Pelodiscus sinensis: one gene and its partners. The protein of the gene in region 1 binds, or shares a complex with, the protein of each later gene. Links are inferred from orthologs where the notes say so. Each region holds a gene or a part of one and is shown in the gene's direction. Other genes may lie near its edges. The genes, in order: SNAP25, VAMP3, RPH3A and SYT1.

The links.
Region 2: the proteins of SNAP25 (region 1) and VAMP3 are in contact, whole or in part, in a crystal structure (PDB 5KJ8), measured with the Rattus norvegicus proteins. The link is inferred for Pelodiscus sinensis from reciprocal best matches to the Homo sapiens genes SNAP25 and VAMP3. Residues at the interface, in NP_112253.1 of Rattus norvegicus: Asp147, Leu150, Glu151, Val153, Ser154, Ile157, Leu160, Arg161, Ala164, Leu165, Met167, Gly168, Ile171, Asp172, Gln174, Asn175, Ile178, Asp179, Ile181, Met182, Ala185, Asp186, Asn188, Lys189, Ile192, Ala195, Asn196, Ala199, Thr200, Met202; in NP_476438.1 of Rattus norvegicus: Ser15, Arg18, Leu19, Gln21, Thr22, Gln25, Val26, Glu28, Val29, Ile32, Met33, Asn36, Lys39, Val40, Glu42, Arg43, Lys46, Leu47, Glu49, Leu50, Arg53, Ala56, Leu57, Gly60, Ala61, Gln63, Phe64, Ser67, Leu71, Lys74.
Region 3: the proteins of SNAP25 (region 1) and RPH3A are in contact, whole or in part, in a crystal structure (PDB 5LOW), measured with the Rattus norvegicus proteins. The link is inferred for Pelodiscus sinensis from reciprocal best matches to the Homo sapiens genes SNAP25 and RPH3A. Residues at the interface, in NP_112253.1 of Rattus norvegicus: Glu38, Asp41, Ile44, Arg45, Leu47, Val48, Met49, Asp51, Glu52, Glu55; in NP_598202.2 of Rattus norvegicus: His617, Ser618, Ala621, Ile648, Ser649, Ala650, Lys651, Gly652, Leu655, Tyr659, Leu662, Lys663, Lys665.
Region 4: the proteins of SNAP25 (region 1) and SYT1 are in contact, whole or in part, in a crystal structure (PDB 5KJ8), measured with the Rattus norvegicus proteins. The link is inferred for Pelodiscus sinensis from reciprocal best matches to the Homo sapiens genes SNAP25 and SYT1. Residues at the interface, in NP_112253.1 of Rattus norvegicus: Lys40, Asp41, Ile44, Leu47, Val48, Asp51, Glu52, Glu55, Gln56, Arg59; in NP_001028852.2 of Rattus norvegicus: Cys277, Arg281, Lys288, Val292, Leu294, Glu295, Asn336, Tyr338, Asn340, Arg398, Arg399, Pro400, Ala402, Trp404.

The regions. Positions count from the first base shown.
Region 1 is NC_134713.1:189,935,136-189,943,134, reverse strand, and holds the start of SNAP25 (synaptosomal-associated protein 25), read left to right. Parts: upstream 1-4,982; 5' UTR 4,983-5,116; intron 5,117-7,999.
Region 2 is NC_134733.1:25,559,924-25,566,859, forward strand, and holds the start of VAMP3 (vesicle-associated membrane protein 3), read left to right. Parts: upstream 1-3,927; 5' UTR 3,928-4,118; coding exon 4,119-4,120; intron 4,121-6,936. UniProt on the Homo sapiens protein: SNARE involved in vesicular transport from the late endosomes to the trans-Golgi network.
Region 3 is NC_134725.1:35,604,060-35,611,343, forward strand, and holds the start of RPH3A (rabphilin-3A), read left to right. Parts: upstream 1-4,272; 5' UTR 4,273-4,460; intron 4,461-7,284. UniProt on the Homo sapiens protein: Plays an essential role in docking and fusion steps of regulated exocytosis.
Region 4 is NC_134711.1:69,980,088-69,987,059, forward strand, and holds the start of SYT1 (synaptotagmin-1), read left to right. Parts: upstream 1-3,954; 5' UTR 3,955-4,619; intron 4,620-6,972. UniProt on the Homo sapiens protein: Calcium sensor that participates in triggering neurotransmitter release at the synapse. May have a regulatory role in the membrane interactions during trafficking of synaptic vesicles at the active zone of the synapse.

The DNA.
Region 1 (7,999 bases):
TAATACACTCTCACAACACCCTTGTACTGGTAACCCAATGTTACAGATAGAGCACTGAGGCACCAAGAGACTGAGGGTATGTCTACACTACCCCCCTAGTTCGAACTAGGGGGGTAATGTATGCATACCGAACTTGCTAATGAAGCCCGGGATTTGAATTTCCCGGGCTTCATTAGCATAAAGCCGGCGCCGCCATTTTTAAAAGCCGGCTAGTGCGAACCCCGTGCCGCGCGGCTACACGCGGCATGGGGTTCGCACTAGCCGGCTTTTAAAAATGGCGGCGTCGGCTTTATGCTAATGAAGCCCGGGAAATTCAAATCCTGGGCTTCATTAGCAAGTTCGGTATGCATACATTACCCCCCTAGCTCGAACTAGGGGGGTAGTGTAGACATACCCTAAATGACTTGCCCGAAGTCACACAAGAAGTCCCTGGTAGAGCAAGGACTTGAACCAGGGTCTCCCAAGTCCTAAGCTAGTACCTTAAGCTAGAATGCTTCCTCTCTTTAGCTAGGGCACAGGGAAGTCAATGGAAATCTGTCCACTCATTTCATTGGGCATTAAAGCAGGCCATACAATAGAGATTTAAACTGAAAATTCTGTTTACATATTCACTAAATAAGGTTGAACTGAATCTTGGGTATGCAAATGTGCTGGGTTGAATCTTGAGTAAGCAACTGCAGATTAACTCTTTGAAAATAATATATTACTGAAGGTGTAAAAACAATACAGCTTAGATCAAGTGAAAATGTAATCACATACAGCCTGGAGTAAGTAATTGTTTCTCTCATTTATGTCTCTCCACCAAATTCAGTGTAAGATACAAAGCAGCTACATAAAGGTCTTGATCCTGAGATATACAGATCACTTACATCTCCCATGGCAATGCTCAGCTCCTCTAATATTCAGGCACAAAACAAATGTAAATGGCAAAGTAGTTCATCATATTGATGAGAAAGTAAAAAATAAGGGGAATTGACTGCCTGTTCTTTCAAAAGCATTATCTGGTGTAGGCAAAATGTTAAAATTTGGATGTATAATGTTAAGCACCTCTGGGAGTATGTGTGGCCTGTGAAACATTTTGTTTATCCTTGCCCACATGCAGAGTTGCCAGATTCCACTTGTTTCTGCCCGTGTCATTTTTTTCCTACTGGTATTGCTAACGTGACACTCAGGTAAAACAAGGACACATGAAATGAGGTGCGTGCTGATTGCACGCAACATTGACTGTCAGAGACATGAGCATCCAATCAGAGTGCTGCTATGGTTTAGCCAGCACACCCTGCAAATTCTAGGTATGCCAGCGCAGGTCGCAAAACTACGCTATCCTGGGAGACTGTCTTGGTTACAATAGTCTTGAGGCCCACAGAGATGACAGAGGGCCACTTACGTAGCCCTTTCGCTAGCCTAAGTTGCCCATCACTGATCTCAGGCAATATCTGGGCACCTAAATAAAAATGGCTCAATTTTCAGAACAAGCACAGCTCCTATTGCTTAGCAGCTCTAAAAAGTAGGCCACTTACATATAGATGCCAAAATGTGTATTTCGTTGCGTCATTTTATGCGCCAACGTTCGGAAACTGATGTGTCTTCAGACATTCAACTACTCTGTGAAAATTCACATTCCAAAAGAGAAAAGCTCTTTCTCTTTCTTGGCAAGTCCAGAGAATCTACTACCAGCTTATATATTTTCAAGCACAAATAAATACATCCACAAACAGCCATTCACAAAAATGTTAGTCTTGGAAAATGTAGGGGGATGATCTGGGGGGTCTATTTGGGGGTCTGACTTCAGTGAGGGAGGCAGGGAGAGAGGTGTGTGTGCATCTGTGTGTAGTTCTACCCAGCCTACTCTGATTTTAGGAGGCTGAAGAGGAGGAAAGATTTTATTTAAACCAGCTGGACAACTTTCACCATCTTTCTGATTCTTGAATGATGTATGAAACAAAAGTGTTGTGGTTTTCACACTATCAGTGTGTTCACAGGCTCTGCATTCAATATCCTCAGTAGACTCACTGACAATAATGTAGGAATGCTGTTAATATAATATACATTTGCATCCAGCAAAGCAAGTTCATTTTCTCATTACTCATGGATTGTGCCTGAATGCACTAGCTCTTCAGCTGGCTGAATAGCTGAATCATTCCTGGAGCCAATTTCGGTTCCTTTCTTCAGTCTCTCCTGCTATCTTGTTTTTAGGCCTCGTTTCTATCAGTTCTCAGATTTGCTATTCAATGAATATTTAAATGTTTTCATAAACAGATGATAAACTGGTATGCATCCCACTAGTTCATTTTTTTAAACTGAGTATCACAAAAGTGTTACTGAATCAGCTAAAATTTGCTTAGCAGCATTTCTTTCAATAGATTTCTTAGTACTTAGCTGCAAAAGGCTGCTTTCTTGTATGTCTCAGAACAACTTATTCCACCTTTGTAAACAACATCTAACATATCCTTTACCCATATAACATTAGACATAAACAAGTGAGTTTTGCCCAGGAAAGCTCTTGATGCTATATATTTTGGTTAGTCTCTAACGTGCCACAGGACCACTCGTTTTTAAAGTTACAGACTAACAGGGTTACCCCTCTGAGATTTTTTAACAAGATGGATGGTTATTCTTATTAGAACTACCAGTCATTGTGCATGGTCTATTTAATCAAACTGTCCCACTTTGTTTTATTAAAATATGAGTGTGGTGCAGTGGGGCTTGAAAGCTCATTTTATATTCCAATCCAATTTTCTTACAATTGAACTTGTAATAATTCTTTTGTCTGCATAAAGATATTCTCCATCTGTGACATCTCACTTTTTGCACATTTCCTCTTCTTTTCCCCTGTCACAAAGTCTGCTGTTGGAATTGCATAGTTTTTCTAACATTGAATTTTATGTTGCCAACAGCACTCTTTCCTCTCCCCCTCCCAACTTTTTATATAATGGACCAAATTCATCCCTGGTTTAATTCTAATGGGCTTTAGTGCTCCTCAAAGGCATTCTTTGGCACAAAACCAATCAGGATTTTGCAGTGCTACTGACCTAATCAAAGCAGCAGTTTATAACTTGCCTTTAGTTTCACTTCTTTATTGTTAATTATTGCACATTATTTATTAACTGCTTCACTGGAAATCAAACTTCATTTCAAAGTGCATGTCTAATAGACTGTTTAATTTTTTTTTACTTTAGATTTCTATTGACAATTTACAAACTCTCATAAATGTGCCTGCTGACTCTGTATTTTTAACATTCTAGATTTTATCTAGAATCTTCACCTAAGCAAAACAATGGATAATGTTAAAACATACAGGACCGGGATAGAAATGGCTTGCTTTTCAAAACTGGCATTTGTGTTAATAAATCTCCTTATTAAATAGTATTAATAGGGATATTTTCCCAAATGTCTTAACTGGATAGAGGAGATATACAGACATTAATTATAATTCATTATATTATGTAATATCATTATTATTGCAGACCTTAAAACTGGCAGGTTTTTTTCCTCTCCTGGGTCTTCCATGTGCATAGATTATGGGATATTCTATCAAAGAGCCCCTCTTGTCTGGGAATGTTTTGTGTGGTATAATTAGCAAACTTTTGAATGTCTTATTCCAAAAGAGGACATATTTTCGTGGGAGGGGATGCCAGCTGCTGTGATTGCTAGGCACGATCGACAATCACGTTTTTCTGTGGGGCACAACAGAGCATGGGAGGAGAAATCACCGGCTTTTCTCTCTTCCCTCCCACACGCTCCACCAGACAATCACAGGAGATGCAAATACAGCTGCATAGCATTTAGTCTCTCCGGGTTTTCCCAGCCACGCCATACGAACTTGATTAGGTTAGAATGTTCCCTAATCGGGGGGTTGCTTTTTGACTCAATATTATCCACGCATTAGTTTGGGGGGAAAAAAGTCAGGATTTCCCTTATGCGCACTGAGCCGTCACCGAATAGTTCCTGTTGACAAGAATGGCTGAGCCTGGGAAATGAATGAAGCATCTTGGTTTATGTTTGTTTAATTGCAGATCTGGCTAGTTATATAAGAGAACTCTCAACTCTGTATAGAATAAAATGCGTGCTCTAGTCGATGGTACGAAGTCGACACTAATGCTTCATTTTAAAAACAGCCAATATTTTGTAGGAAACCAAAAACCCCAGCGCATTTTTAATTTCCACTTCTAACATTCAAATTAAATAAAGACAGCTCGATTTGTTCCAAATAAGGTGCGCTCTGAAATGATCATGCCGTTAATTAATAACAAATAGCATCCCGTTTCTCTTGGAACGGATTAACCATTTGCATCCCTGGTGGGACGGGTTTCTTTTACTCTCTGATTTCCCCCCCAGAAAAGATAACAAAATTCGCGTGTTTTAAAATCTGGAGTATCTTTGAGTTGGTTGGTTTTTAGGAGGAAAATTGGTCAGATTAATACATAGAGACACCCCCCCCCCCCCTTCCCCTGGCATGATGCTCTGAAGGGGGAAAAAACTAAGAAATCACACACCAAAATAGCAACCCACGTAGACTGGCCATATATGGAGTACCAGAGACTTCACAGGGATACCCTTCTCGGACCACCCCTTTAGCGAAAACAAATCACTACTGCATTCTCCTCTCCCTCCAAAAAATGATTCCAGCAAAGTACCCCCCCCCTCCCTATACACACACACCATCAATCGGCCCCCCGCTTGCCACAGAAAACCAGCGGCTGCATGGGGCACCCTGGAAGATCCCAGCCCATCACATGGCGGGTTGGATTCTGCGGAGCTAATTTGGGGGGTGGTTTTCTCTGGCGTCTCTTGTTAGTCAACTGGAGGCGAAATGCAAAGGATTGCAGCAGCAGCCTCTGACGCCTCAGGCTCGCGCAGACTACTCTCTGCCTCTCTCCCCCCTCCCCCCGCCACTTCCTCTCCTCCCCCCACCCCCTGATAGATGTCTATTAAAAGCTGCTGACGTGGGAAGGGACGGCCATCTTTGATGAGGGCACAGCTCCCATTCCATTGAAGAAGGAGGCTTGGGGAGGTCAGGAGCGACTGTCCTTTCCTCCCAAGCCGGAGCCGCAGCAGCCGGGCTGAGAACCGGCCGCGGGGCTGCCTGCACCGGAGCCTGCCTGCAAAAGCCAAGGTAAGGGAGCGCGCCGGGACACAGCCTTTTGTCTCCTGCCTGTGTCCGCGGGCACGGCCGCTGCTGCAGGCGGGGAGGAGAGCGGTAACCTCCACACCTTCTGTCCGAGCATTGTTTCTCGGGGACTGATTGTGGGGCTTCCCTCCCCCCCACCCCAAAAAAACGGGCTGCGGAGCTGGCTTGTGTGCACCGGGCGGGCAGTGGACATGCAATAACCGCTGCATTATTCCCCCTTCCCTTGGGGGACAGGGAGCAGGTGGCACCTCTGTTTCCCTGGGGTCAATAGCCTCCAGCACCGGGCGGTCGCCCTGTGCCCACTGCAGCAGTGTGTGTGTGTGTGTGTGGGGAGGGTCAGCACCTTGGCCAGCGGCGCTCGCCTGCAGCCTCTGGGGTAGAGCCCGGTTCAGGACCTTGGAGAGCGACTAGCGCCGGGCCGCAAGTTTAGGGGCGCTAGGGGGACTGTGAGCACCGTGCAGCATCAGCGCGGGTGCAAAGGGAGCCGCGTCCCTGTGACACGCTGCAAAGTCCTGGGGAGGGAGTGAAGGAGAAACGCCCTCCCCCGCCTGCCCTTCCACCCCCATCACCTCCACGGCAGCGGGCTATGGGGTGAAGTGCCCGTTCGGGTCTTATTTGTACCTTCCCAAGGCGCTTCCCTCTAGCCCGGTCGACTGCCCAAATCAATCGCTCGCCAGTTTCCTCCCCCCTCCAGCCCTGTACCGCCTCTGAATCCAGCAGCCCGGGCTGGGCTTGCCCGCTCGGCTCTCCGCTTTTCCCGGCTGCACCGCCGCAGCGAGCTCGCCCGGGGCTCGAACCCGCGGCGCTGCCGGTAGCGGGGGGGGGGGGGGGGGGGGTAGTGTTTGTGCTTTGCAGGCGAGCCCCGGGCACTCGTGCTCTGCTGCTCTAACGCACCAGGAGGGGTGCGGGGAAAGCAAAGCGCTCGGGAGGGCTCCCTGGAGCTAGGGGGCGGGACGGGGGCGGATGTACCCCCGCCTGTAGGGATCGGACCGGGTCTCCCCCCGGGCCGTGCGCCCCCTTGCCCGGAGACCCGCTGGCTGCAGTCTCCTTGGAGAGTCCCGCGGCGCCGAGCCTGTGCCTGGGTCCCGTGTGAAACCCCCCTGGCCCTAGGACTGAACACACACGCGCGCCAGCTGCCCGGGGACTGCAGAGCCCCGCGAGCGGAGCGGGCCGCCTTATGTAACCGGGCCGCGCTCCCCCGGGGGCAGAGCCCAGCGCGAGGCAGGCGGCCGGGCGGGTCGCTTTGCAGGGCGAGCCCGCGGGATGGGGGGTAGCGGGGGGGGCGAGGCCGGTTCAACTTCATCGGCCGCCTCTGCTGCTGCACGTCCCGCCCGCTCCCTGGCGTCGCTGCGTCAAAGCTGCGCTGCTGGAGCGGCTGCCCCCTGGACGTGCTGCTCGGGCATTAGTGAAGCGCGGCTGGGCTCGCTCCCCGCCGGGGGAGGGCCTCTGCAGTGGCGCCCAAGGGAGGAGGCGGGGGCCAGTGTCTCCCCCTGGGCTGCTCGGAAAACCTGGGTGAATTGTGGCCGTCACGTTCCTTGGGCTCCTGCAGGGGTGGAGCATGTGATGCCAGGGGGGTGGCTGGAGGCACATCCGCACAGGCCGGAGGCTAGTGGAGATGCAGAAGGACCCCCAGGAGAAAACCACCATCCATGCAGAGGGGCCGGAAATAGACATGGGGGGAGGGCGCCTTGCTGCCAACCCCCCTCCCCCCGTTTGAAGTGGCTTCTGTCCTATAGGGGAAAAAAACCAGCAAGCAAAGGGTCTCGTAGCACTTTATAGACTAACGAAACATGTAGATGGGATCGTGAGCTTTCATGGGCGCAGCCCACTTCTTCAGATGACCGGAGTTAAGATTAGAGGATAAGGAAATTCGAAATAAATAGGAGAAGGGAAAGGGGGGGGGGTAAGAAAGATGTTCTGTCACCCACTCCCTACCTCTGTGCATAAAGTATCTAGAGAAAGGGTGCTAAACCTGAGTAGATAAAGATCAAAGTCAGTGGATGCACAGATTGTTCCAGCCTCCTGCTGCCACATTCACCAAGCCAACAGGACAATTCACATTGTATACCAGACTCTGTATATTCACTTGGGTCTGCCTGGCAGGCTACCCTGAAGGGGAAGGAGATCAAAGAGTGTTGGGAAGCCAGAAGACCCCTGCCCCTCTTACCCTGGGCTTTCAGCTCCAGCCTTTGGAGAAAGGCAGGACCTGGCAGGAAATCGGTCATGTCTGTTTGGGTTCTGTCTGCTGCCAGCAGTGGGTGAACAGGACGGGTTTGCTCTCTCCTCCAGGCTGGGTGCGCTCCAGCCTGGTTTTACGCAGAGCAGGCAGGACTTGGAAATGCACCTCACAAAGGGTGGAGGAGGACCACTGCTCCACTATTACTGTTGCAGGGAAGGTAATTTTCCAGGGATTAATTTGTGCCAGTGGAGTTGATCCCTGGCACCTCTGTTTTGAAAGTATAAAAAAAATATTGAAGTCCCTGAACCTAATTGCTTGCGCCTGGGCACCTCTTTCATTATATAAGTAAGCACTGTAATTTTCCTGCTGGTCAGCATCAGAGGTGGAAAATGTGGCTCAAACTTCAGTGCTGGTGTGAGGGCAATTTTGACCTTTGCAGGCACCATGACACTAGCTGGCTGGATAGAATGACGGGACTGCAGCCCCTTCCCAGCAAGGGCTGAGAGTCCAGTAACACCATTTAGGGGCCATGGGATATGTGTAGCTGCCAGGGAGGTGAGGATGAGATCACAGTGCTCCTTCAAGGGAGAGAAACAGAAAAAAAAAGAGTAAAAAGATGGGAAAGGCAGCAAGAGTTAAGGGCGAGCGGGGAAGAGGAAGGGAGAAAGGAAAGTGTTGCCCTTCTAAAG
Region 2 (6,936 bases), on another chromosome or scaffold:
CCCCCCCCGGGACACACAGACACCCGCCCCCGCCTGTCCCCCCCCCGGGACACACAGACACCCGCCCCCGCCTGTCCCCCCCCCAGGGACACACAGACACCCGACCCCCCGCCTGTCCCCCCCCCCAGGGACACACAGACACCCGCCCCCGCCTGTCCCCCCCAGGACACACAGACACCCGCCCCCGCCTGTCCCCCCCCCCAGGGACACACAGACACCCGCCCCCGCCTGTCCCCCCCCCGGGACACACAGACACCCGCCCCCGCCTGTCCTCCCCCGGGACACACAGACACCCGCCCCCGCCTGTCCCCCCCCCAGGGACACACAGACACCCGCCCCCGCCTGTCCCCCCCCCCAGGGGACACAGACACCCGCCCCCGCCTGTCCCCCCCCGGGACACACAGACACCCGCCCCCGCCTGTCCCCCCCCGGACACACAGACACCCGCCCCCGCCTGTCCCCCCCCCGGGACACACAGACACCCGCCCCCGCCTGTCCCCCCCCGGACACACAGACACCCGCCCCCGCCTGTCTCCCCCCGGACACACAGACACCCGCCCCCGCCTGTCCCCCCCGGGACACACAGACACCCGCCCCCGCCTGTCCCCCCCGGACACACAGACACCCGCCCCCGCCTGTCCCCCCCCCGGACACACAGACACCCGCCCCCGCCTGTCTCCCCCGGACACACAGACACCCGCCCCCGCCTGTCCCCCCCCCGGGACACACAGACACCGCCCCCGCCTGTCCCCCCCCGGACACACAGACACCCGCCCCCGCCTGTCTCCCCCCGGACACACAGACACCCGCCCCCGCCTGTCCCCCCCGGGACACACAGACACCCGCCCCCGCCTGTCCCCCCCCGGACACACAGACACCCGCCCCCCGCCTGTCCCCCCCCGGACACACAGACACCCGCCCCCGCCTGTCCCCCCCCGGACACACAGACACCCGCCCCCGCCTGTCCCCCCCCGGACACACAGACACCCGCCCCCGCCTGTCCCCCCCCCGGACACACAGACACCCGCCCCCGCCTGTCCCCCCCGGGACACACAGACACCCGCCCCCGCCTGTTCCCCCCCCGGGACACACAGACACCCGCCCCCCGCCTGTTCCCCCCCCCGGGACACACAGACACCCGCCCCCGCCTGTCCCCCCCCGGACACACAGACACCCGCCCCCGCCTGTCCCCCCCCCGGGACACACAGACACCCGCCCCCGCCTGTCCCCCCCCAGGGACACACAGACACCCGCCCCCGCCTGTCCCCCCCCCGGACACACAGACACCCGCCCCCGCCTGTCCCCCCGGGACACACAGACACCCGCCCCCGCCTGTCCCCCCCCGGACACACAGACACCCGCCCCCGCCTGTCCCCCCCCGGGACACACAGACACCCGCCCCCGCCTGTCCCCCCCCGGACACACAGACACCCGCCCCCGCCTGTCCCCCCCCCGGGACACACAGACACCCGCCCCCGCCTGTTCCCCCCCCCAGGGACACACAGACACCCGCCCCCGCCTGTCCCCCCCCGGGACACACAGACACCCGCCCCCGCCTGTCCCCCCCGGACACACAGACACCCGCCCCCGCCTGTCCCCCCCCGGACACACAGACACCCGCCCCCGCCTGTCCCCCCCCGGGACACACAGACACCCGCCCCCGCCTGTCCCCCCCGGACACACAGACACCCGCCCCCGCCTGTCCCCCCCCGGACACACAGACACCCGCCCCCGCCTGTCTCCCCCCGGACACACAGACACCCGCCCCCGCCTGTCCCCCCCCGGGACACACAGACACCCGCCCCCGCCTGTCCCCCCCCGGACACACAGACACCCGCCCCCGCCTGTCCCCCCCCGGACACACAGACACCCGCCCCCGCCTGTCCCCCCCCGGACACACAGACACCCCGCCCCGCCTGTCTCCCCCCGGACACACAGACACCCGCCCCGCCTGTCCCCCCCGGACACACAGACACCCGCCCCCGCCTGTCCCCCCCCGGACACACAGACACCCGCCCCCGCCTGTTCCCCCCCCGGGACACACAGACACCCGCCCCCGCCTGTTCCCCCCCCCGGGACACACAGACACCCGCCCCCGCCTGTCCCCCCCCGGACACACAGACACCCGCCCCCGCCTGTCCCCCCCCCGGGACACACAGACACCCGCCCCCGCCTGTTCCCCCCCCCAGGGACACACAGACACCCGCCCCCGCCTGTTCCCCCCCCCAGGGACACACAGACACCCGCCCCCGCCTGTCCCCCCCCGGGACACACAGACACCCGCCCCCGCCTGTCCCCCCCGGACACACAGACACCCGCCCCCGCCTGTTCCCCCCCCCCCAGGACACACAGACACCCGCCCCCGCCTGTTCCCCCCCCCCCGGGACACACAGACACCCGCCCCCCGCCTGTTCCCCCCCCCCGGGACACACAGACACCCGCCCCCGCCTGTTCCCCCCCCCGGGACACACAGACACCCGCCCCCCGCCTGTTCCCCCCCCCCCGGGACACACAGACACCCGCCCCCGCCTGTTCCCCCCCCCGGGACACACAGACACCCGCCCCCGCCTGTCCCCCCCCCCGGGACACACAGACACCCGCCCCCCGCCTGTTCCCCCCCCCGGGACACACAGACACCCGCCCCCGCCTGTCCCCCCCCCGGGACACACAGACACCCGCCCCCGCCTGTCCCCCCCCCATGGACACACAGACACCCGCCCCCCGCCTGTCCCCCCCCCCGGGACACACAGACACCCGCCCCCGCCTGTTCCCCCCCCCGGGACACACAGACACCCGCCCCCGCCTGTTCCCCCCCCCCGGGACACACAGACACCCGCCCCCGCCTGTTCCCCCCCCCGGGACACACAGACACCCGCCCCCGCCTGTTCCCCCCCCCGGGGACACACAGACACCCGCCCCCGCCTGTCCTCCCTCCCGGGACACACAGACACCCGCCCCCACCTGTCCCCCCCCCCCCGGGGACACACAGACACCCGCCCCCGCCTGTCCCCCCCCCCCGGGGACACACAGACACCCGCCCCCGCCTGTTCCCCCCCCCGGGACACACAGACACCTGCCCCCGCCTGTCCCCCCCACCCCCCCCGGGACACACAGACACCCGCCCCCGCCTGTTCCCCCCCCCGGGACACACAGACACCCGCCCCCGCCTGTCCCCCCCCCCCCGGGGACACACAGACACCCGCCCCCGCCTGTCCCCCCCCCGGGACACACAGACACCCGCCCCCGCCTGTCCCCCCCCGGGACACACAGACACCCGCCCCCGCCTGTCCCCCCCCGGGACACACAGACACCCGCCCCCGCCTGTTCCCCCCCCCCAGGACACACAGACACCCGCCCCCGCCTGTTCCCCCCCCCGGGATACACAGACACCCGCCCCCCGCCTGTTCCCCCCCCCGGGACACACAGACACCCGCCCCCGCCTGTTCCCCCCCCCGGGACACACAGACACCCGCCCCCGCCTGTCCCCCCCCCCGGGACACACAGACACCCGCCCCCGCCTGTTCCCCCCCCCGGGACACACAGACACCCGCCCCCGCCTGTTCCCCCCCCCAGGGACACACAGACACCCGCCCCCGCCTGTCCCCCCCCCCGGGACACACAGACACCCGCCCCCGCCTGTCCCCCCCCCCCGGGGACACACAGACACCCGCCCCCGCCTGTCCCCCCCACCCCCCCCGGGGACACACAGACACCCGCCCCCGCCTGTTCCCCCCCCCCGGGACTCACAGACACCCGCCCCCGCCTGTCCCCCCCCGGACACACAGACACCCGCCCCCGCCTGTCCCCCCCCCCCCGGGGACACACAGACACCCGCCCCCGCCTGTCCCCCCCACCCCCCCCGGGACACACAGGAGCCCGAAGCCCCCGCCCCCTGCCCCTACAGTGCCCAAGGCAGCAGGCGCAGGCGCAGGCGCACGCGGCGAGCACGCGATGTTCGGGAGCAGTCGGTGGGCGGGGCTGGGGGCGGGGCGTGTCCGACCCCGCCCCCCCAACCGTCACATCCGGACCGCGCCCGCCTGCCCCGCGGCGGTTTCCGGTGCAGTGCTGTGTGTCGCCTCGCGCCGTTAGACTCCCCCGCAGAGGCTCGCGCCGCCGCCATGTGAGTGCGGGGCCCGGGGAGGGTGTGACGGGCCCTGCGGCCGCCCAGCTCTCGGCGGTTGCTGGGGGGCGTCTGGGGGGGGCCAGGCTCGGGCTACACGGGGGGGCGCGTCTGGGGGGGCGGCCAGGCTCGGGCTACACGGGGGGGGCCGCGTCTGGGGGGGGCCAGGCTCGGGCTACACGGGGGGGGGCGCGTCTGGGGGGGGCCAGGCTCGGGCTACACGGGGGGGGCCGCGTCTGGGGGGGGCCAGGCTCGGGCTACACGGGGGGGGGCGCGTCTGGGGGGGGCCAGGCTCGGGCTACACGGGAGAGGCGTGTCTGGGGGGGGCCAGGCTCGGGCTACATGGGGGGGCGTGTCTGGGGGGGGCCAGGCTCGGGCTACATGGGGGGGGGCGCGTCTGGGGGGGCGGCCAGGCTCGGGCTACATGGGGGGGGCGCGTCTGGGGGGGCGGCCAGGCTCGGGCTACATGGGGGGGGCGCGTCTGGGGGGGCGGCCAGGCTCGGGATACATGGGGGGGCGCGTGGGGGGGGCCAGGCTCGGGATACACGGGGGGGGCTGCGTCTGTGGGGGGCCAGGCTCGGGCTACATGGGGGGGGCGCGTCTGGGGGGGCGGCCAGGCTCGGGCTACACGGGGGGGGCGCGTCTGGGGGGGCGGCCAGGCTCGGGCTACATGGGGGGGGCGCGTCTGGGGGGGTGGCCAGGCTCGGGCTACATGGGGGGGCGCGTCTGGGGGGGGCCAGGCTCGGGCTACACGGGGGGGGCGCGTCTGGGGGGGGCCAGGCTCGGGCTACATGGGGGGGGCGCGTCTGGGGGGGGCCAGGCTCGGGCTACATGGGGGGGGCGCGTCTGGGGGGGGCCAGGCTCGGGCTACACGGTGCCTCATTTAGGTGGCTGCTCTTGGCCTGCAGCCAAGTGGACACGGGCAGGCTCCCTACTTGCCGGGCCCTTGTGGTCAGCTGCAAGGGCCACGGGCAGGTGGCCCCCACCACAGCCAGCCACTTTGAGCAACTTGGGTGGAGGCAGCGCACAGGGAGTCTGCCTGAAGCCCCTGCTAGTCCACAGCATGGTACTGGGTCGGATCTTGCAGTTTTCTGGGCCATATTTTGCCTGCCCCTGTATTAGGGTGACAGAAATTTAGATGGGATTGGTCCTGCCTAGAGCAGGGGGCTGGACTTGATGACCTTCTGAGGTCTCTTCCAGTTCTATGATAAGGGGTTGGTTTGAGAACATGATCTTGGTAACTAATTGACCATTCATTATCAGTGGGAATAGGCCAATGGAGGGATGATAGGAGTTACTCTAGAGAACTTTCTGGGTGTCTGGCTGGTGAGTCTTGCCCACATGCTCAGGCTTTAGCTGATCGCCATATTTGGGGTCGGGAAGGAATTTTCCTCTAGGGTAGATTGGCAGAGGCCCTGGAGGTTTTTCGCCTTCCTCTGTAGCATGGGGCACAGATAACAGCTGGAGGATTCTCTGCATCTTGGGGCCTTCAAAGTATTTGAAGGCTTCAATATCTGAGATCTAGGTGAGAGGATTATTCTGGGAGGGGTGGGTGAGATTCTGTGGCCTGCACTGTTCAGGGGATCAGACTAGATGATCATAATGGTCCCTTCTGACCTTAAAGTCTGAGTCAAAAAAGTCTTTATTTCTAGATAGTGTGCAGAGATGGTGTAAACTCTGGTTCTGCTTTGACTCCATGACTGATGGCTGTGAAATAAACAAAGGCATTCATCTGAGCCACTAGCTAGTGAGGGAGCCTTTTAAACAAAAGAAAGGTATAGCCTTTTGTTTCTTTGGCCTAGCTGGTTGAGGGAGAGGTATTGTGGGGATTTTTTGTTTTCTTTTGGTTTTGTGCTGTTTTCTTTTATGAATTAAACATGGTAATTTGGTGTTGTTTTTAAAATGTCACAGTGTGATGGAGTATCTTCTAAATTGGCCTCCGCAGGGTGTTTATAGTGACTTTGAGGATTCCTGTGGCACTTTGGAGACTAACAGACTTGTTAGGGCATAAGCTTTCATGGGTAAAACTCACTTCATCAGATGTATTGGAGTGGAATTTACTGAGGGAGGGGCTGTGTGTGTGTGTGTGTGTGTGTAGATATATGCACACACAATTTGCACACATACAACAAACGAGGGTACTTGTGTAAAATGAGGCTAATTGAGTCAGAGTGGGGTAGTGCTTTCCCTTATCAACTAATTGTGTTGAGCGTGACCAGGAACAGGTAACAGGAGAGTTTGGAGAGGGAGTTCTCCAGGTAAAAGAGGAGTAAAAACGGGACTCTTGTGGTAAGTGGCTGTCTGGAGTGTGTGTTTGTGTGGGGGGGAGTTTGCAGTGTGCTGAGCTTGTGTTTGTCTGTTTGGTTTGTTTGTTTGAAGGAGCTTCTAAAAGGTTTGAAATCTAGAAGCCTCTGTTAATTGGCCGAGCCTCAGGCAGGGGGAGGGACTACCAGAGCTATATAAGCCTGTGACTCAGCGACCAGGGAGAGCATGACCAGGAACAGGTAACAGGAGAGTTTGGAGAGGGAGTTTAGAGGGCACTAGTGACTTGTGTCCTTCTTTAAAACCTAACTCTTAGAATAATCTATACTCCAGAAGTTTAAAAAGAATCCCAGTTTATACTTAAACTTATTCATTACAAACATGGAGACAGAAGCCCAGCAGCAGAGTGGGGGCTATCCTGTTTATTGCGTCCAGTGTAACATGTACGATTACCTGCCCTGTGGGCAGGTGGCGTATGTGTGCAGCCATTGCAAGGAGCTCCTGACCCTCAGAGACCGAGTTCGGGCTTTGGAGGACAGGGTGGCTGAACTGGA
Region 3 (7,284 bases), on another chromosome or scaffold:
AGAAGAACCATAAAATGAAAATAACACCAACCATTATTGACATGGTAACTTGTGCAGGTTTTGGTGGTGTAGACACTCAGCACTGGGCTGAGCCTGTCAAATTCATTTTATGTATTGCAGCATTTTTTGCATGATCAGAGTATTTAATTCTTTTAGGGAAAAGAGAAGGGGAAAGCTTCCTTCCTCTGGAAACTTGAAAAATAACTGACAGAGGAAGATTGTAGCTCTTGCTCTTAACTGTAGCAAGAGTGTACTACACTGTAATTTCTTGGAGTAGATTTATGAATACCCTAGTAGAAATTGCTCACAGATTTAGCTTGTACCTTGTTTTCTTCTCTCCTCTGGATTTCAATTTAGGGAAATTTTCCTACTCTGACAAAACCTCTTGAAATGAAGAGCAAAGGAACAAACTGAAGATGAGAGTGGGCAAAAAGGAGCTAGGTTGAGCTCTCCAGAAACTTGAAAGGGAAAACAAATAACCATAACAACGTGAAGTGCAAAATATGACCTGGAAACAAACAATATATATCACTCCTAGACTCACCAGTGGTTGAATACATTGAACAAATTGTTCATGGCATTGTTCTGGTTCATAGCTAAGTTTGGAGTTTCCAGTATCTCAATTAAAGATGTCCTTTTATATGGGACACATAACTGATATTTATAATGCTCTACTAGTTCAAATATTTGGTCCCCTTTACGGGACCAAAAGTCAACTTGAGCAGAATAATGGTTGTCTCATGTATGAAATGCAAAGAGCAGATGAAGCCAAGAAGAAAACCGTTTTTAAAGTAAAAAATAAAATTGACACCATAGAAATAAAAGCAGCTGGATTATCCAATATGTAAATTGACTAGGGATAAGCCAGAAAAGGAGTATGCAAAACAAAACAAAACAAAACCAAACCCAGGAAGGAAAAGACTGTGTGTTGCTCTGCAGGTATCCAAAATCTCACTGTATGTATTCTTTTGTGTGATGACTGACAGCCTTGAAGTTCTGATATCTTGACTGCCCCCATTCAAATTAGCAATCCCATGAACACTACATTGGTCACAAGGAATGTGAGGAAATACTCATCTTTTGGACAGTGGATGAATTCGCTTTGTGATTTGGCAGGAGCAGCAGTAAAGAAAAGAGTAGAGAGAGGACATTATAGCCCAGCCTCTGCTTAGATACATGGGAAATGGACAGTCCTAACTGAATGAGAGTGAGATTTGCCTGTAACCACAGGAGAAAAGTTTGCAGATTATCTATAACCACAGGCACATGTCTGCAGTATTGGTGTACATGAAACTACTTTCCGTGAGGTAGGTGCCCATGTTTTCTTATTTTGTAACTGGGTACTTCATCTTCATATGTTTAAATTTCACTCACTGAACTTCCACCATTAAGGTTTCTGAATAGAGATCAGAATCTGGCCCATGATTCAATTTTGTTTCCATTAGCATGAGCCTCAAAAGCCAAACCTCTTTTTTGAAGCTTAAAATGACAAAAGGGTTGTAGAGCAGCTAGCCTTAAAAAGAGGGAGAGGAAATTAATGCTTCTCTCTGATTGTCAAGCCAATAATCTTGAAAAACTGAATTGCACATTTGTTTGCTTTTTGTTTTAGTGATGAGGATTTTGTGTCTAAGGACTAGCCCATATGAGGGGAGAGTCTCATCTCGAATCAGTCAGTATTCTTCCCATAATAGACAGATGCTCCTATATCCAGATTCTCATACATAAGGAAGTAGGCACCTGCATATCTCTAGTAACAATTCTGATTGGTTTCTCTAGGCAGAAAATCTCTTTCCAAACCATTGTATACACAAGACAAACCAAGGAAAAACTGGAATATTACTGCCAAAAGAGACTGGCAGACATTCACATGAGATTATTTCTTGTGTTTCTGGCCAGCCTCTGATTGGGAGCAGGGCCCCTTGCTGGGCATGAGCATTTGCTGTAAGTTAATGATTGCTGAGTGATTTTAAAAAGGAAATAATTGTTGCACATTGTTGTAGGTTAAGCTTTTTTTGGGACAGGGAGTATATTGTAGTATATATTCATACAGTTCCTGGAGCAAAAAAGCCCTTGAGTTGAGGCCTTAAGAGGCTACCACAATAAAAAGCCTAATGAAAATAATATAGTCTGTTCCTGGGACTCAGCAGTGAGTGTGAAAACCATGATGAATTTGCCCAGCACCTTTTTGGCTATGGGGAGGGACCATTTGCCCCTTGCTGCTATGGTGGATGGGGGATATGTATAAAAAGTAGGATTTATGACCGTGGTGGGCAACCTGTGGCTCATCAGAGTTCTATGTGTGGTCCACAAGACATTTTGTTTGCCATTGCCCATGTGCAGGGATGCCAGATTCTGCTGAGTTTCATCCGCATTGTTTTCTTCCTACTCGTATTACAAAAGTGACACACACTTATTACTGATTTAAATGGTTGCAATGGAAAACAGATCAAAGTGCATTACCAAGCCAAAATAAACAAAACAGGCCAGCTAATCTTCACTTACTGCAAAACTTATTATATGCAAATTCTTACCCTAACAGTTGTTCCGATTATCCCTTTAGGCAACCTTCTAGCTTGAGCCCAGTCCTGCCCCGTGTTCAGTATTAAATGTTTCCAGCAGGTATGTTGGGTGGTAACTCCAGGGTCTCCTGGAATCTGGCCATTCCCAATATTGTTTGGTTTCCTCATTATATCCTTTTTGCCCAAGGTGGGAATTCTTTGTGCTCACTTCAAACTTTTCTCACCTTGAGTGGAAAAGCACCAAATCCAAAATAGATTACAGCATCAGGTAGCCTGACCACATGTTTTTAATAGGACCAACCACAATTTGGACTTACAGAAAAATAAAACCATTCACAGGCTATTGACCTGATCACCAACTCATCAAGTTCCTAAAGTTTCACTCATGGCTCTTTCTAGAATACCTGGAGTAATGAAACAGATATCACAGACAAGAAGGCCACATGCACAACAACAGATATACAGATTCAGTGGATTACAACTTTTAAAATGATATGTTACATGATCTGTTTTGCATAAAGTGTCTGAACTATGCATATTCATATTCATAAGCCAATTATGTCAAAGCATGGGGGGGCTCTGTGACATCATGCTCTAGCCTTGACCCCGCCCTCAGAGCCAGCACCCCTCCTCTTGCACCCCTGAACCTCAAATCCCTGCCCCAGCCCAGAAAAAGTAAATGAGGGTAGGGGGAAAGGAGAGTAACAGAGGGGGATGGAGTGAGCACAGGTAGGGATGTAAGCTAGTATTTGCTTTCCACCCTCCTGGCTGCCTCTGTATCAGAGGCAGCAAGGGGCTGGGAAACAGAAACCGATGCTTAGGGGAGGTAGCTTAAAAGCTGGTTCCCCCCAGCACCATCTCTGTGATGCTGCCTTCCTCCCCCTACACCCTGCTGCTGTCTCTATCAGAGGCAACAGCAGGATGGGCAGGGGAGGCTGCTGCAAAACAGCCTCTGTCCTTGGGGGGTGGGAGGTCACACGTAGACAGGGCTGCTTCCTGCATGCTTGACTCCTACTACATTTAAACTGCAGAGCCACAGCGGGGTAGCCCCTACAGTACAAATTGTATTGACTACTCAATTAGTCAATTACCTGCCTCTTAATATCCTTAAGCAGATCTTTGCAGAAAGGGTGAGGCTTGAGGGACAGGACAGGGTGGAACTTGAGCTGCCCTTAAATTCCAAAAGCGATCTTGGGCATAAATAGGTTAGGGACCTCTGAGCATAAGCTCAGCACGGGGCTGTTGTGTATGTAGATGGTGATACAGACTCTTGAGTGCAGTCTTGGGGTACATTCTCTGCCCATTATTTCATCAATAGGGGAGGCAGGGAAGGTCAGATTAGATGATCTAACAGTTTCTTCTGGTCTTAAAGTCTGCATATCTCTCCAGAATTGTGCGTGGCACTGAGCAGCCATTGATGTTCCCATGTGTAGCCTGCTTGATCCCCAGAATTAACACTGAGTGAGTGAGGGTGGCACAGGAGCGCCTGGCACTGGCCACTGTTAGCACATAGGATACTGGCCTAGATAGACCTTTGGTCTGACCCAGTATGGCCATTCTTATGTTCTTATGTTTTAAGAGAAGCAGGAGTTGGCCAGGGACAGGACATTAGCTCTGCAGGGCAGGCGTGGGTGTGGCAGTGACATCACAAGGGCCTTTTTCAGCCTCTCATCTGATTGGCTAAAGGCAGTTGGGTGGTGGGGACTTCACAGAAAGACCATGACATCAGCCTGGTGGGACTGGCTGCAGGGCTGGGGCAATCTCAGAGACCCTCCTGACTTTGCTAGGGGAGACGTCTTTTGAGGTCTGCCTTCGAGGTCTGAGAGAATTCAGGGTGATGGCATGAGCACAAGGAGGAGGCTCCTTGGGGGGTTTGGCCTTTCCCATGACTAATTGAGCTAGATGACAAACATCCCTGAGGAGAAAGTAAATCTACGAGAGGTTTGTTACTAATGCAGCCTGATCCATCTGATGCTGGCCAAATTGAAGGCCAGGAAACACACTAAGGCTACATCTGCACTGCAGAGCTATTTCAGGATACCGGAAGTATCCCAAAATAGCTATTCCATGTCTTTAAAGCAGCCTGTTATTTTGAAACAGATTTTGAAATAATGGATGCACTATTCTGGCGTAGTGCAAATTGCATAGCTTGTTTCGAGGTAAGAGTGCTGTGTAGATGCAACCTGGGTGAAGGTGGGAGAATTTTTTCCCACCTAGACCTTTGTCCCTCATCACTGGAGGCATCGGAGTTCATCGTATTTGGTTTTCCTTCGGTGAGGAGGGGGCTGTTCCTTGACAAAGGGATGGGACGGGAAGAATGCTCTGAGTGACTCCCACTGGTGACCTGAGCCATCTCTGGGCCATTTGAGGGGAACCCACAACTGCCCTGCCCTCAGAGTCTCAGTGATGATTGGCTCAGTGGGAGAGGGGGCAGGACAGTGACCAGGAGGAGACTCAGGACTTTTGTTGTTCTCTTTAAGGCCTGGCAAATGAGACAGAACGAATCATCAACGGGGAACTGTCCTGCTCCTCACCATTGATTATCTCTGATCAGTTCCTAAGCCCCTTCCCCACCACCGACATTCTTCTGCTTCTAAAACATTTGGGCTGTGTCTACATTGGCACCCTTTTCCAGAAAAGGGATGCTAATGAGACAAGTCAGAATTGCAAATGCCGTGGGGGATTTAAATATCCCCCGCGGCATTTGCATGAACATGGCTGCCGCTTTTTTCCGGCTCGGGGTTTTGCAGGAGAAAAGCGCCAGTCTAGACGGGATCTTTCGGAAAATAAAGCCTTTTCCGGAAGATCCCTTATTCCTATTAAAATCAGGAATAAGGGATCTTCCGGAAAAGGCTTTATTTTCCGAAAGATCCCGTCTAGACTGGCGCTTTTCTCTGGCAAAGCCCCAAGCCGGAAAAAAGTGGCAGCCATGTTCATGCAAATGCCGTGGGGGATATTTAAATCCCCCGTGGCATTTGCAATTCCGACTTGTCTCATTAGCATCCCTTTTCCGGAAAAGGGTGCCAATGTAGACACAGCCATGCTGAATGATCATTAGGACGAGTTGTGGGTCTGTAGCGCCTTGAGATCACTTTACTCGGATCATTCAGTATGTGAAACTCCAGACTGAAAGCCAGGGCTTCCGAGTCCTGTTCCCAGTGTTGCCCCAACTGTCCATGTGACCTAAGATAAAGCCCTTTGCCTTCCTCAGCCTTTGTTTTCCCCTCTGTCAATTAGGTGCAACTATGTTCTCTAACTGTGTCATGGCTGGGGAGCTGTGATGATCCATCTGAGAGCGTAGCCAGGAACAATGTATCATGTAAGGTGGCTTCTCACATGGAGTCATTACAGGACCAGCTTTCCATGTTAACCCAGCAACACAGGCTCGGAAGGCACACTGTGTTTCTCCTCACACTTTCTTATTCTCCTCATGATTGTCTGAATTTTTGATGATCTGATCTGGCCTCGGTCCCAATTCGATGTGATAAATGGGGCTCTGCTGTATAATAGCTGAAATAGTCAATTTTATTGGTATTTTATTATGTTTAGATCATTAAGAGGAGCAACTCCTTAACCCGGGCCAAAGCATCTTTCCGACTTTCTGAACCAAAGAGTCTCCTCTCTGTGTGTGAGGAGACAACCAAACAGTATATGACAAACAGGAGAGGCTTTTCTTTTGTTTAAAAAAAAAACTTTTTGCAAAGAATTTTCATCCATATTGAGTCATGATTTCAAAAACCAATGTGTCCAATGAGAGGTGCGCCACTTCTGTAACTCCCCACAGAGGTGAGGCTGGATGAGAGAATGGGCATTAAAGCACTGTATGGAGGAGAAAGGGCTGTTTCATGGTGTTGCATGCCAAGGCATCTGGAATTTGCTAAAGAGTCTAGCCCAAAGAAAGAAGAAATGGCCGGGGACAAAGCCCACTGTAGGGTGTCAATGAGAGAGGCCAGAGCGTGTGTCTGAGGTCTCCCCAGTGCTTCACACACCTCACTGTGCTTTGACCCCTGCATCTTGGCAGGGGGCCCCCAGAGAGGAGGAGTAGGAGGCCATTTTGCCTCAACACTGGGTAGGCCTGGAAAGGAGAGACTGGAAGATCCAATTTTCAGCCTCTCCTGCTTGCTGGGATCCCACTGGGCTCTCCTCATTCAGAGCAGTTAGTTCCCCCCGCTCCCAGGAGCCCCTTCCCTGTGGCTGGCCCTGAGCAACACAATGCCAGGCGCTTGGTGCATCCAAGCCCATTTCCCAGTGTGGGTGCTGGAGGGAGATGCAAGGGGTCAGGGATGAAGGTGGCACATGCAGATGAGGGCCCAGAGTGGAAGGACAAGGGAGGGGGGCACATGCAGGAAGGGCAGGAGTTGGGGCGAAGGCGGCACCATGCAGAGGTTAGAGGCGAAGAGGGAACAGGGCAGGGATTAAGGGTACAGTGTAGGCATTAGGGTGCTGCAGGGGAGCAAGAGTCAGTGTGATGGAGTGCAGAACTTAAGGAGCCTATGGGTGTCAGGGGAAATAAGGGAACACCATGTTCATAGGATCATCAAAATTCAAATTTGCTCAGAGTGCTATTTTCCCTAAGGCTGGCCCTGACCCTCCATACTACAACCTCCTGACTCCTGCATACCCACAACCATCCTGTCCTGAGCCCCCACCTCTGCTTTGATTCCTGCACCCCCCATGCCACCCTGCATCCTGTACTCCCACCTCCACAACCTCTGGCTTGAGCTACCACCTTCCCCCCACAAACACCTCAATCCCCTTGCCTTTG
Region 4 (6,972 bases), on another chromosome or scaffold:
AACTATATGGCCTAGGAAGGCTTAAGAATGAGCACAGTGATGTATGTTGTGGCAGTGTGCTGTGCCATCATGGGTTTTTTTCCACCTTGGTATGAATCTTATAAGGAGTGCTGCATGTTTGATACAACATAAAAAATGCACCTATTGCTGTTATCTGTGAATAATGTCAGCCCCAGCTACCATATGTTGCAGACTAATAAAGATGAATTAAGTTTCCATAAATAGATTTTTATTCTGAACCTAAGCAAACAGACTTATTTAAAACTGAATGAAACTTTACAAATACAAGCAAAAGTAACTTTGAAGAGGAAAGAAGAGTCACTTTCATTTCAGTGAACATCCTTGGTGGAGGTATAGAAGGGGTGTTGCTGCTAACAATGAACTGAAGCTGTTTGTCTCCATTACATTTTGGTTTGCCTGCTACAGCTCCTTGATCTTCACATAGCACTGCTTCATGTCCTTTCATAGCCCTTCTCCCCCATTCCCCAAGTGATGTAGCTATAGATGTTGACTTTTCTATGGCTGTATCAGAGCTGTGCCTGCACAGCCTCCTCTCCCCATGAAGTCAGGAGATCCACCACTAGGGCTACGTCTACACTGGCCCCTTTTCCGGAAGGGGCATGTAAATTTCAGCAGTCGTCGTAGGGAAATCCGCGGGGGATTTAAATATCCCCCGCGGCATTTAAATAAAAATGTCCGCCGCTTTTTTCCGGCTTTTAAAAAAGCCGGAAAAGAGCGTCTAGACTGGCCCCGATCCTCCGGAAAAAGTGCCCTTTTCCGGAGGCTCTTATTCCTACTTCAAAGTAGGAATAAAAGCCTCCGGAAAAGGGCACTTTTTCCGGAGGATCGGGGCCAGTCTAGACGCTCTTTTCCGGCTTTTTTAAAAGCCGGAAAAAAGCGGCGGACATTTTTATTTAAATGCCGCGGGGGATATTTAAATCCCCCGCGGATTTCCCTACGACGACTGCTGAAATTTACATGCCCCTTCCGGAAAAGGGGCTAGTGTAGACGTAGCCTAGGGGTTTAGTTTCTATGATTTATTACTCACATGATCTTGTTCACATCTAAAAATGGCTGACAAAATCTTAGCCTAATCCTAAGCAAGTCCTGTGGGTTGCCTCTCTAGACTTGTTGCAGGACTTGTTTTTTCTCATAGCTATAAGAATTCCTTAGGGACTTTTTTGCAATTGAGAGCACTCTTTATGGCTGAACACTCACCTTGTTCCCCAGATGAGAGGGGGGTAGTGGACAGATGTTCAGTAGAGGAGTGAAGTTTGCTTAAGGTAATAGAGACATCACTCCATAGGCTAAATAATGTTTTGTCCTAGGCTCTTTTGACTGGGTTAGAGAGGGAGCATGATGCAAATGCCCACCACACCATCACACACACATAGGCTATGTCTACACTGGCATGATCTTGCGCAAGAACTCTTTTGCGGAAGAGTTCTTATGCAAAAACTCTTCCAGAAGAGAGCATCTACACTGGCATGTGCATTTGCGCAAGAGCATCCATGCCAGTGTAGACGCTCTCTTGCGCAAGAAAGCTCTGATGGCCATTTTAACCATAGGGCTTTCTTGTGCAAGAAATTCATGTTGCCTGTCTGCACTGGCCTCTTGCGCAAGAGGGCTTATTCCTGTGTGGGAGCTTCAGAGTTCTTGCGCAAGAAGCACTGATTTCATACATTAGAATGACAGTGTACTTGCGCAAGAACTCGCAGCCAGTGTAGACAGGCAGCAAGTTTTTCACAAGATCGCACCAATGTAGACACAGCCATAGCTCCTAGCCAATATGTCCTTTCCTAAAACAAAGAAAACTTCCTATGGATAGCCCCTAAGATAGGCAAGGAGAACTATGTAGCTCTCATGCAGCCCTGTCCAGATGTACTAATTTTTGTTCCTTTCTTTCTGCATCATGGGAGGGGTGCATTGGGTTTAAATCACATAAATGAAACACTGCTCAAGCATGAAGGACCTGAGGCTCCATTCCTGTGCACACAAAATTCCCACTGACTTTATTGTGCATGTGTGAGGGTGTCAGGGATGCAATGTTGCATCTTTAAAATTATTGGCACTGAGCTAGTCAGCTTTCTTTTAACTCACCAAGTAAATGCCATATAAAAAGCAGCTGGCAGTGTCTTTTGATCTGGAGATAGAACAGCAGTTTTGTGGACACTGGAAATAGGTTTGTCATTTTGGTTCTGAAATTTGTTAAATGCCACATTTCTCTCCCTCTGTGGTGCACTAGGTGGGTAAAAGCAGCCCCCCCCCCCCCCATCATGGTTTAACACATCTGTAGAAGAAACAGTCACACTTTGGCTGCTAGACCTGGAGAGTATGGGTACATATACACTAGCTCATTAGTTTGAGCTAGGTGGGGTAATTAGGGCAAGCGGAGTTGCAAATGAAGGCTGGGATTTAAAGATCCCGGGCTTCATTTGCATGTTCCCGGGTGCCGCCATTTTTAAATCCCCCTTAGTCCGAACTCCGTGCCCGCGGCTAGACGCGGCAAGGAGTAGGTAGTTTGAATTAAACTGCTTCCACGAGGAATAACGATAGTTTGAATTAGGATCTTTAATTCGAACTACCTACTCCGTAGCCGCGGGCACGGAGTTCAGACTAAGGGAGATTTAAAAATGGCAGCACCCAGAAACATGCAAATGAAGCCTGGGATCTTTAAATCCCGGGCTACATTTGCAACTCCGCTTGCCCTAATTACCCTGCCTTGCTCGAACTAATGAGCTAGTGTAGATGTACCCTATAAGAGGGAGCAATCTAACACTGATGGGGACAAACAGCATATATTCTAACAATGGGGCACAGCCATGGGTCCTCCATTCAACAACACCACTAGAGAAAGAGGACTATCCCATTTTCTGAAGTTGTAGTAAGACTCATTGCTGACCAAACTTCCAAGGGCAGATGAGGCATTATGACTTCCTCCACTACCTCTGGTGGGCTCCCCCTCCTTGCCCTTTTTCCCAAAGCTAGATGCCATAATTTACATCATATATGTTAACACATCTTTCACTAGGCATTCTAAATAAAAGCAGGCAAGTAATTATGGAATATACTGCCATTCATTAAAGCTTTTATATAATAACTGTCATCGCCAAACTGTGGTGTGGATTAGGATTCATCTTTGCACCTGGTGTGGTACCTTTAACCTATGAAAAGGAATGGCATTCTATTAATGTGACATTATTATTTATAGAATTTTGTAAATGAAATAACATTTTCCAGTTGGCAATTTTGAGAAATCCTGTAATTCTTGACACCCTGTAATTTACATTCAGTAATAATGTAATTTAGGCAGGAAGGAACCTTATTCTTTTTATATCCATTATTTATATTTTAACAGCCAAATTTATATCTAGATCTACCTCCATTTCCCTTTGGAACTTCCGAGTTACTCTTTATGTTATATTAAACATTAGACAAAGAGGACAGGTCTAATTAAAAGTTGAAGAAATGTACTGCTGTTAATTGAATTTGTGGTACAGTTACATTTTGCAGACCAATGTTAATCAAAGCTCCGGTTCAGAGTGGACGGAGCTGGGGAATTAAGTTCGCTCTTATATTTCCTTACCTGAAAACGCCAATAAAAAGTGCTCTGTAAAAAGAAAAAAACCCAAACAACAGACAGAACTCAATGCATGGCGAATTTTATGTGCAGCCATTGATGAGCTGGTCCTGCCCACAAGCCCCTCAACGCCGCAGGGCTGGAAAACGCTCCTCCAGAAGGCAATTTTTTTTAAAAGTATTTAAAAGGGGCCAGAGAAAAGAACAAGTTCACCAGCTCAGTTTGCGTCTGGAGAGCAGCAGCCATCGCCTCTCCGGCTCTGCTTCTGGTTAAGGATCTATCTGACTCTTTGACTTTTATTAGCGCCTTTGGCTCCTGCTCACCTCTCGGCCCCATCCCCCACCTCCTGCTTCTCCCTGCCTGTGTCTCTCTTTGTGGTCGGTAAATGCCACACTAGAAATTGCCTGAAGTCCCAGGGGGTGGGGCGAATCAGGTCACCCAGCCGGCTCTATTTCCAGCGCCCAGCTTGCCGCGCTGCTGGGGGGGTCATCACTTTGCCGGGCCAGAGGACTGATTTGATGTCCTTGATTGTCATTCGCAGGGAACTCCCTCCCAGCCCCCTTGCCCGCTGGGGGGGACAGAGCCTCGCACATCCCTGGGCTGGGCGCTGCCGACTAAGCAGGTCCACCTATTATTGTTGCAGCCGGATTGGATGGCGGAGGCAGCATCCCCGCCTCTCGGCCAATCAGGCGGCCGGGGCGGTGGGGAGGGGGTGATGGGCTGCCTCGCGCTGGAGGGATTCCTGGAGAAGCTGCAGTGTGGTGATGCTCTACAAGCTGCACAGCCCCCAGTATCTCGCCTCCTCCGCCGCCCAGCCAGCAGCAGCTGAAACTTAACACCCCACGCCAAGCGAGCCCGCTCAGAGCAGGGGGGTGCACAGACTTGCTGGTGGATGTGGGAGGTCTGCCCCCCCCCCGCCCAGCACACCTTTTTGTATCGCAGCCTCCTCCCGGGAGAGACAGAGCGCGCGCGTGTGATTCCTACTAGACAAGGAGGCGAGAGCAGCGAAGGACAAACAGACTCCTGCCCTGGTTGCCAGGTAAGGCAGAGGCTTGAGTGCTTCTGCTGGATCTGCCTGCAATGTTTGCTGTCTTGCAGTGACTTGGATGGTGTGGTTACCGTAGCGGGGGAGGGGTGTTGAGAGGCACAGGGAAAGAGAGGGAGACCCAGGTGGTCCATTGTGTGGGCGGTGATGAGAGCGCACATGTTCCTGGTAACCGATGCCGGAAAACAATTTGTCCGGTGTCTCCTGATTTGGGTTGAATTCTGGCAGACCTCAGCCACCCAGCGTTTCTCCCTCCACAGAGAAGGCTGCTTTCCCGTCAGCTGGAAAGAGGCATGGGAGGGGTGGGATTCTGCAGGGTAAAAGAAACTGGAGGCAAAAAAAACCCCAAAACAAAAACAAAACTGAACCTAAAGCAATCAAACTGCTTACAAGAGAGTAATCAAATCCTCGAGCTCCTGCTGTCAGAGAGGGAAAGCAGCTTGACTTTACTCGTCTTCCGAGTGGATCTGCCTTTCACTTGACTTCTTCAGCTAGAAATAAATATATGTGTTGATTTTTATAAAAGTGTCTGTCACCTTCTTTTACCCCCTCTTGCATGACTGTTTGACACTGGGGGAAAAGAGTTTCAATAGCAACAACTTGTAACCTCAAGTCACAAAATACAGAAGGAATCCTTCCCAAGATTTGCCTGCACTCTCTGAACAGATAATGTTCTTATTAAGACTTGTTGTTTGAAGCATTGGTGTTGTTCTCAAAGCACTGTTCCCTGGAGGACCTGCTTCTCTGATGGTAGAGGACTAAATTAATCCTCTTTGTATTGAAGGTGTTTTTTTTTACTTAATTAAATGCCGTGGTGCCTGCTTCCCTTTCTTAGAAAAAGCTGACAAATTAATTTTCTTTAGATTTTTTCAAATAATTACACCTCTTTCCTCCTCTCTGTATGCCTCTTTCTCCTTGGTTTCTACTATATTACACTCTATATCATGTAGGCACAGAGAGTGCAAATATGGATTCAAGACTGTTTAAAAGTTAAATGAGTGTTACCTTAGGCACCTCCCACATTACAAAAAGTTTAGGGACTAAAGTCAAAAAGTGGCACAAATGTTTAATATTTTTTCATAAGAAATGGTGATTTTTTTCTTGTTTCAAGTCTTGTCTGAAATCTTTATTTTAAAACTACAAGCTTCTAGCCCTGAGTAGAGTAAGTAAATTAAATATATTCATTGGAATGAGCCTTTATGGCAGTTTTAACAAGTATAATTCAATCATCACTGATACAAGCTGCCTTTTACCATTATTCATCAGACCCAGCTGAGTGATTCCTGTCAGATGGGAAGTGGTAAAGAGAAATCTCTAGGTAAATGTAACTGGAAAGCTTTCCAAGTGGAGTCCTAAATGAGCACAGAAAAGCACTTGGCCACAATCTGCAGACAGATGTTAGAGTACAAATAAATCTTTTTCTTTTGATTGTCAGGGGGAAGACAAGTCTTATTTTTCTTACTTAATATCTATTTGTGAGTGAAGAAGAGGGATCTCTGTGCTTAGATGACTATGACCTTGTATATTTAGTGTAAAATGTTGTATTTCAGTAGTATTTTCCTGTCTTTCAAATGCTGAATTCTCCACACAAATGTCAGCACGGTAATTTTAGACACACATGTGTTGTTGCTCATGAGTAGACCCTCATTCTGGAAACTGCATATTGATCCTCTGAACAGATGTACCCTCCTTTGCCATTCATGTTTCATGTTCATCTTTCTTGTGCATTTTAAAATGTACTTTTTCATCTAGAAGAGTTATTTCTTCTTCAAAACCAGATGCTACCAGCAGTTGTATACCTAAGAGGAGACTTTTCTCCTTGTAGAGTGGCATCCACAGTTACATAATGTAATTGTTTTTGGGGTGATCTCCTATCAATATTTAAAAGCACATTACATATAACCTTCCTGTTGTGTGTGTGTGTGTGTGGTTTTTTTTTAAGAAATGGCAGCTTTTGGCTACAATGACCAATGGGCAATACATTTAATTTACCTTTAATGTGGTGTATGTGTAGAGGATGAAATTAATAATGTTAAAATGGTCAGAGAGGAAAAGGATAAAGAAATTCTTTCTATTTCTTCTTATTATTAGTCAGATTAGTATATTCTTGCTTTTATTGGAAAAAATAAAACTTGACCTGGTTTTATGTTTGTGAGACCTTTTTTCCTCCAAGACTAGCAATTGTAGTTCTGCTAGTAGTGTCCAAAAGGAACATAACTCAATATTGTATGTTAGTTGACTGTAATGTAGTTCCTCAAAATTTCAATGTATGTGGTTCATAAATTGAAAAGTATGTAGCTTAAAAACTATATAGCTTTAAAACATAGTGCAGACAACTTGAGTGAGA